Xenopus tropicalis: one gene and its partner. The protein of the gene in region 1 purifies or fractionates together with the protein of each later gene. This does not show direct contact. Links are inferred from orthologs where the notes say so. Each region holds a gene or a part of one and is shown on either strand. Other genes may lie near its edges.

What was found.
Region 2: the proteins of pdhb (region 1) and pdhx purify together in Homo sapiens (affinity purification with mass spectrometry; 4 studies listed by BioGRID and IntAct, counting the BioPlex papers as one, with this or other methods). This does not show direct contact. The link is inferred for Xenopus tropicalis from reciprocal best matches to the Homo sapiens genes PDHB and PDHX.

Annotation. Positions count from the first base shown.
Region 1 is NC_030680.2:148,527,899-148,532,441, reverse strand, and holds the start of pdhb (pyruvate dehydrogenase E1 component subunit beta, mitochondrial), read left to right. Parts: upstream 1-1,736; 5' UTR 1,737-1,748; coding exon 1,749-1,784; intron 1,785-1,873; coding exon 1,874-1,933; intron 1,934-3,582; coding exon 3,583-3,690; intron 3,691-3,758; coding exon 3,759-3,821; intron 3,822-4,427; coding exon 4,428-4,463; intron 4,464-4,543. Other genes in the region: BTB/POZ domain-containing protein KCTD6, read right to left, coding at 1,420-1,447. UniProt on the Homo sapiens protein: The pyruvate dehydrogenase complex catalyzes the overall conversion of pyruvate to acetyl-CoA and CO(2), and thereby links the glycolytic pathway to the tricarboxylic cycle.
Region 2 is NC_030680.2:11,153,740-11,157,556, reverse strand, and holds part of pdhx (pyruvate dehydrogenase protein X component, mitochondrial), read left to right. Parts: coding exon 1-144; intron 145-328; coding exon 329-476; intron 477-3,817.

The DNA of each region.
Region 1 (4,543 bases):
TGTATTATTATCCCCCATTACACCCCTGTATTACCTACCCCCTCAATACACCCCTGTATTACCTACCCCCTCTATGCACCCCTGTATTACCTACCCCCTCTACACCCCTGTATTACCTACCCCCTCTACACCCCTGTATTACCTACCCCCTCTATGCACCCCTGTATTACCTACCCCCTCAATACACCCCTGTATTACCTACCCCCTCTACACCCCTGTATTACCTACCCCCTCTATGCACCCCTGTATTACCTACCCCCTCTGCACCCCTGTATTACCTACTCCCTCTGCACCCCTGTATTACCTACCCCCTCTGCACCCCTGTATTACCTACCCCCTCTGCACCCCTGTATTACCTACCCCCTCTGCACCCCTGTATTACCTACCCCCTCTATGCACCCCTGTATTACCTACCCCCTCTACACCCCTGTATTACCTACCCCCTCTACACCCCTGTATTACCTACCCCCTCTATGCACCCCTGTATTACCTACCCCCTCAATACACCCCTGTATTACCTACCCCCTCTACACCCCTGTATTACCTACCCCCTCTATGCACCCCTGTATTACCTACCCCCTCTGCACCCCTGTATTACCTACTCCCTCTGCACCCCTGTATTACCTACCCCCTCTGCACCCCTGTATTACCTACCCCCTCTGCACCCCTGTATTACCTACCCCCTCTGCACCCCTGTATTACCTACCCCCTCTATATACCCCTGTATTACCTACCCCCTCTATACACCCCTGTATTACCTACCCCCTCTATACACCCCTGTATTACCTACTCCCTCTATGCACCCCTGTATTACCTACCCCCTCTATACACCCCTGTATTACCTACCCCCTCTATACACCCCTGTATTACCTACCCCCTCTGCACCCCTGTATTACCTACCCCCTCTGCACCCCTGTATTACCTACCCCCTCTATGCACCCCTGTATTACCTACCCCCTCTATACACCCCTGTATTACCTACCCCCTCTATACACCCCTGTATTACCTACCCCCTCTGCACCCCTGTATTAACCCCATCGCACCCCTGTATTATTATCCCCCCCCCCCCCGCAGCCCCATATCTCACGGTATCGCTGCGCTTGTGCCACACACGTCACTTTATCACCCCCCCCAGTAATGTACCCGGCCCAAGCTTTATACAGGGGGGGGGGGGGGGGGGGTCAGTCATTACCGCACTGCCCAATACCCCGGTGCTGCCCACATGATAGAAGTAAAGCTGGCGGGCCGCTCCATCCCCCCTGCCGGGGCCTCAGTGTCATTGCACAACCCCCAGCTGAGCGGAGATATTACGCTCCGAGCGGTACCCGGGCCGCACATGTAGCAGCTAGTGCTCCCCAAGCCTCCCCCCCCCCGCCCCAGTAATTCCGCCTTGGCCTCTCCCCAAACCCTCATACCTACCCACTCGCACACCCTTCGCATGAATCATCCCATTCGCAGCCTTCTCCCGTAAGGCGACAAGGATTACTTACTAAAAAAATTGTCCCTCACGACTACCCTTCCACGTCCCCCAAACCCACGCTACTGATTGGTTGTTGCACAGCAACATTCCCTCCCCGCTTTACAAGCTCTGTGTAGGCGGGGCCGTGTCAAGTTTATCGCAGAAATACAGTCACGCCTTGCTTTTCATTGGTCGCGCTGCGTCAGGTGACCGCCTAGCGCCGAGAGCGGATTTTTATTGGCAGAGGCGTTCGCGAAGGGCGACGTTTTGTCCAGAGGACAGAAGTAAGATGGCCGCCCTCAGGAGCTTGTTCTGCGGAGGGAAGGTAAAGAGACTAAGAGTTCGGGCCAGGTGGGACCTTTGCCTTTATTCTGTATGGATACTAAATGCTTCACTTTCCCTTGTCTTCTGCAGAGCTCGGTGTCCGTGTTTCTGAAGAGAAGCTTCCACAGAAGCACCCCGGCCGCCCTGCAGGTAACCCCTAGTACCTTAGCCGGTCTCCTGTGCTCGGTGTGGGGCTGGGAGAGTCCGCTGCTCCCTAGTGTCTGCTGGGACTCGGCTGCACTGGCTGTATAACCCTTCTGCGGAGCCTATTGGGAGGCAGAGCTGTCAGTCACTCCATTGAACCAATGACAGCCCAGCCCTGACCCCCACTGTGACCTTCCCCTATTCCCCTGCACAGAGGTTGTCATGGGAACCAAGTGACCACATAAGTACAATATAGTACTAGTTGTCCTTTAATCATCTGGTTTTTGTGCCATTGGTTCAGCGGTTGGAACAGCCAGACAGACACTGACTCCAATGGCAGTTATGTTTAATGATCTTTGTGAATTCTCTGTGTAATAATGAGTTGCAGTGTCATTGGCCACATTGGGCAAGTTTACAATGGAGACGAGGCGCTTAAGGGTTAAGGTTCAGTTTAAAAAAATGGGAAAGGATTAATTACTGTGAGAGCTGTGAATGGGGGCGGCCTAGGGGCAAGACAAATCTGGTGCTGTGGAGGTATGTCTTTTTTCAACCTAACTTACTATGTAAGTAACCCCTTTGTCTAGCCCAGTGATCCCCAACCAGTGGCTCAGGGGTAACATGTTGCTCCCCAACCCCTTGGGTGTTGCTCTCAGTGCCCCCAAACCAGGGAGTTATTTTTGAATTCCTGACTTGGGGGCAAGTTTTGGTTGAATAAAAACAAGATTTCCTACCAAATAAAGCCCCCTGTAAGCTGATAGGGTGCATAGAGGCCCCTAATAGCCAATCACAGCCCTTATTTGGCTCCTCCATGAACTTTTATGGTGCTTGTGTTGCTCTCCAAGTCTTTTTACATTTGACTGTTGCTCGTGAGAGGAAAAAGGCCTTCTGCTTTTTGGTTTTGGACAGCCTGTGTAGATCTAAAGGAAGCCCTTGTCTTACAGGACTCTGTAAGGATTATGTATGTTCAAAAGGGGGCGTGGCCACAAAGGCCTGGGCCTAGGGCGGTATAAATGTATGGGTGGCATGCTGCCCAGCCACAAGTGAAATTTGCTCACATATGGAGCACTGGAAACGGGATGCGCAGAAACCTTCAGTGAGTCCTGTCCCCCAGTGCTCCGTACGTGAGCGAAAATGATGCACGTAGTTCTGGGGGGCAGAGAGTGGGGCAGCCATTGGGGCTCCCCAAACGGAAATCCGGCACTGAGTGCTTACTGGTGTTATAAACTAAAGCCAGAATACATAAAAACAAAGTCCAAATGCTCCAAGTAATTTGATGGCTCTGATAAATGTTCATGATGGGGTGCTGCCGCCTTAATCTGCTGGTCCCAAACAGGCAGAAATCTACAAATAAATATAAAAGAAGGGGCGCGCTCCCATTGTGTAAAACCACATCGGCACATTTATTTAAACACAAGTACTGCACTTACAATTTTAGCTGGAAATAAAATCATTCAGGGATCTGTTGCTGATGGCTCCTTGGGGGAAACATGATGGGGCTGTGAGCAGTTTGCAGCAGAGACAAAGTATGAGGTATAGAATAAACCCATGGGATTGGGCCCAGATCAGGTTCTTGCTTTCTCAGATAATTAGGAACGATGCTTTTCATATTGCTTGGTGTTTACTAACGAGGTGCACGGAATTGTGTGTGTTTGCAGGTGACTGTACGGGATGCATTGAACCAGGCTATAGATGAAGAAATCGAGAGGGATGAAAGGGTGTTCCTGCTCGGGGAGGAGGTGGCCCAGTATGATGGAGCCTATAAGGTACCATTTCCTTAACGTTAAACATGGAAATGCTCAAATGTAAAGTCTAATCCCTGTCTACATTTCAGATCAGTCGGGGGCTCTGGAAAAAGTATGGGGACAAGAGAGTTATGGATACTCCCATATCTGAGGTATGAACCTGTACATGAAAGATATATAAATGCTGTGGGTCTGAGGTACTAACCCTGATCCATAAGCTTTGGGCTTATATTGGCTGCCAGTGACTGACAGAATGTCCATGGAAAGAACCAATAGAATTGCTTTTGCCAACTAACTGGATGCGATTGATCACAAGTAGCTAAAGTCAGCATCGGCCCATGCGTTTGGCCTTGACTTATCTGGCCCTACTAAGAAGTAACATTTGGGCAGTGCAGCTCTAGGATATAATGCTCTGAAGTACAGCAGTCTGTCTTACATTATTTCTTACTTGTCTGTTGTTCTGTCCATGGGCTCCTGCAGTTGAAACAGGGTTGGACTGGGGAGTGCAGTGCCCTGCAGGTGCCCCCACCAGCCGCGTCCCCTAACCCCCCCTCGCAGGGGCCCCCCTAAGCCCCCGCAGGGGCCCCCACCCAGCATCCTCCCCTGACCGCGTGTAAATTTAACGCGTCAGGGGAGGAGCAGTCAGGTAGAGGGAGCACAGCAAGGGTCGGGTCTGGGCTGCCGGGATTTTTCCCAGTGTCCCGGCGGCCCAGTCCGACCCTGAGTTTAAATAATGATCCTGTGTTTGTTCTCTATAGATGGGCTTTGCTGGAATCGCTGTAGGTGCTGCCATGGTACGTACATGATACAACTCACTTTTCCCACAGTATTTATAATTCAGTTTGGCTGTTCCCTGATGTGATTGTGCTGATTA
Region 2 (3,817 bases), about 140 Mb from region 1:
GTATCCGGGGAGAAGCCCATAGCAGCCGCCCCGAGCCCACCCCCAGAGAAGCTTCCAGCATCCCCACCTGCAGCGGCTCCAGCGCCTGTCTCAGGCCGTCCATTCTTTCCCCCCATGTCCATCCCTGGAAAGCCCCATACAGAGGTAAGTACATCCAGCTGTGGGGCAATATTGGGCTGTATGAGTGCTGTGTGCTGACATAAATGCTATTTATACAGATTGCTTTATATAAATTCCCATGTCCTGCACCCTGCTGCAGCCTGTAGCGCATTAAAAGCACCGGTGCGGGCGCGTTCCGGGTAACCACCTTCTGAAAATTCCCTTTCAGGGCATGTTTTCTGAAATACCAGCCAGCAACATCCGAAAAGTGATAGCCAAGAGGCTAATGGAATCCAAATCCAGCATCCCTCACGCCTATGCCACGACCGACTGCGACATGGGAGCCGTGATGCGACTGAGGAAGGAGCTGGCCAAAGGTCGGTATCGGGGCCTCCATGTAAAAATAACTCAATGGGGAACTAAACCCTATAAAAGAATATGGCTGGAAATTCTATATTTTCTACAGGTATGGGATACCTTATCAGGAAACCTGTATCCAGAAAGCTCAGAATTACGGGAAGGCTGTCTCCCATAGAATCAAATTTAATGAAATAATTCAAAATTTTAAAATTTCTAATTGATCTCGACTAAGATATAACTAATCCTTAGTTAGGGGCAATGATTCTATTGGGTTTAATTCATTTTTAAATTAGCAGGCTTAAGGTATGAAGATCCAAATTATGGAAAGAGCCCTTATTCAGAAAACCCCAGGTCCCGAGAATTCTGGATAATGGGTTCTACAGCTGTATACTGAACCCTAGTATCTTCGTCTAATTCTTTGTTTTAGCTTTAGTTGCCCTTTAAACTTACAAACTGCCGCTGCACTGCACCCACAGCAGATGTGGCGGCCACGAAATTGACTAGTTACACCTTGTTCTCTGTCGGTGTTGGACTGGGGAGCCCAGGGCCCGCTGGGGCTGCCACTTTAAGGGCCCACCACCTTCACAAACTCCCTCTGTATCCCATCGCAATTTTCCACTCCACGCGTGCCTCTTCTCTCTTCCAGGCCAGCAGGGGAGTGTGGGGGCCCACAGATCCAGGCCAGCAGGGGGGTGTGGGGGCCCACAGATCCAGGCCAGCAGGGGGGTGTGGGGCCCCACAGATCCAGGCCAGCAGTAGGGGATGGGGCCCGCAGACCCCAGGCAGCAAAATGGGAGAAAGGCAGTGGTCCAGTCCAACCCTGTTCTATGTACCTTCTGCTCTTGGGCTGCTCTCCTTCCTGTTGGCCAGAAAGGGCTTGTTCTGGCTGAGACAAGGTGCTTTTGCCATAACATTCATGTCTGTTGGTGTTTGGGTCCGGACTGTCTATGGCATCTTACAACAGCCTCTCTGGCATTTGCCAGAACCCACAGATTGCCAGTCCGGGCCTGAGGCTTCATCAAATCGCTTTATATTGCCCATAGAGATCGGTGTAAAGGCAAAAATCTAGTCAAGCCCAAGTCCAGTCCCCCGGAGTCTGAACAGAGGAAAGAGAGCAGCCCAGGTGCAGATTAAATTCTACTTCTACGTATTCCATTTATCTTGTCCTTTACAGCCACCACTATTCCTGGGCCCCAGCGGAGATTTAAGACCCCAGATCTGAAGCAGCCAATTGTATCCCGGCACCGGGTTACAGAGTCATTGTCTATTTATGTACCAGCTAAATCTCATGAGGGGGGGAATTGTCCATTTCCACCTCATTTGTTATTGCTTCAGACAGGGTTAAATATATCCCACACAGACCACCGGAGCACTACAGAAAGGCTTTATCTCTGTACAGCAGCGCGGTCTGTTTTTTCTTTCTTTTCAGATAAAGAAAAGCCTAAGAAAAATATATATATATATATGTATGTAATATGTTTAAACTAATCCAGTGCATTTTTGTATGGCTCGACTTAGCGCCACTAATGGAGGGCTTATCTGCCAATGCCATCTATCTGCACAGGACTCTTGGTACCACACTTTCAGCCTGAGATCTGGGTCACACATTACTTATTCACTGGCAATTAGGGAGAAATTTGATAGAGAGCTCTGCATCTCTGATAATAAGCGGTGATTTATCTGACGTTCTCTTCTCCTAGACAGAAATGTGCAGTAATATTGTTTTCCAACAACGTTGTTGTATATTTGTATTTATACATATGGGAGGGAGGTGCCATAGTGTCGCCATAGTATCGCTCTGTGTGCCCGTAGGTGGGGGATATCGGGAGAAGATCCGCTCGCTTGGTGACATCGCCAAGCGAGCGGATCTGCCCGTGTATGGGGACCTTTAGGCTCTGGTGGAACGGATTGTGAATCCTGAAAATCACCTGACTTTTTTTGTTGCACAAACACGGTTCTTTTTAAACCTAAATTAGGATTCGGAATCAGTTCGGTATTCAGCCAAATAGTTCACAAAGGATTGGGGGGGGTTTGGCTAATTCCTAAAATAGTGTATTTGGCGCATCCCTGAACCTTACAGGTCTGGTGAATTGACTTCTGACTACACTACAGTCTACAAGAGTCAGAACCAGCAGTGCAGACAGACGCTGCTCTTAATAGCAATTCCATTGCTACGGCAAAGATGCTTGGAATGACATTTTTTTCTTCATTAGGGTGGAGTTCCCCTTTGATTTTACTTTCCGTTCCTCTGTCCTGGATCCCTGTGCCCTTTATTCTGCCAAGCGGCATCTTCCTTCTCCAGTGAATCACCATGCAATGTGCGCTCGTTTCGGATTAATTAAAACCACAGCCTAGGGTGTCCCGATGCTGGTGCAGAGCGTGACATTTCCTTGGGGTAGGGACATTCAGCGGGGCTCTGCTCACAATTAGGGAGTCGTTTGGCGCTGCTGCTGCTGGAATGTATTTCCTTCTCACGCCAACTGTACTCATCCCTTTAAAATAAACAGAAAAGCCGCAGGAGGTCCCCATATTCCAGATTGTATTTTGTCTGTTTTGTACACAGTGACCCGAAATGACAAGGGGATGGGACCTTATAATAATGGAGTTATTTTAAATTAACCCCATGTGGTCTGTCTCTTACAAAACAAATAAGGGAAGTGATCCTAGTGCAATAGGAAAAGCCCATCCCACACCTATACCACTGGAAGGAGAGCAGCCAAAGGGCAGGAGGGTTAGTAGTGAGGACAACTGGATTTACATATACAGGCACCCTCACCAAGCCCATCCCACACCTATACCATTGGAAGGAGAGCAGCCAAGCAGCATTACCCACACTTATAGCATATCCCACACCTATACTATGGAAAGGTGAGCAGCCAAGGAGCATTACCGCTATACTGCCTGTGATCATTGCAATAGAAAAACACCCTCACCAAGTTCATCCCACACCTATACCACGGGAGGGAGAGCAGCCCAGGAGCATTACCCCTATAGTGCCTGTGATCATTGCAATAGAAAAACACCCTCACCAAGTTCATCCCACACCTATACCACGGGAGGGAGAGCAGCCCAGGAGCATTACCCCTATAGTGCCTGCGATCATTGCAATAGGAAAACACCCTCCCCAAGTCCATCCCACACCTATACCATGGGAAGGAGAGCAGCCCAGGAGCATTTCCCCTATACTGCCTAAGATCAGTGCAGTAGGAAAACACCCTAACCAAGTCCATCCCACACCTATACCACGGGAAGGAGAGCAGCCCAGGAGCATTACCCCTATAGTGCCTGCGATCATTTCAATAGGAAAACACCCTCCCCAAGTCCATCCCACACCCATACCATGGGAAGGAGAGCAGCC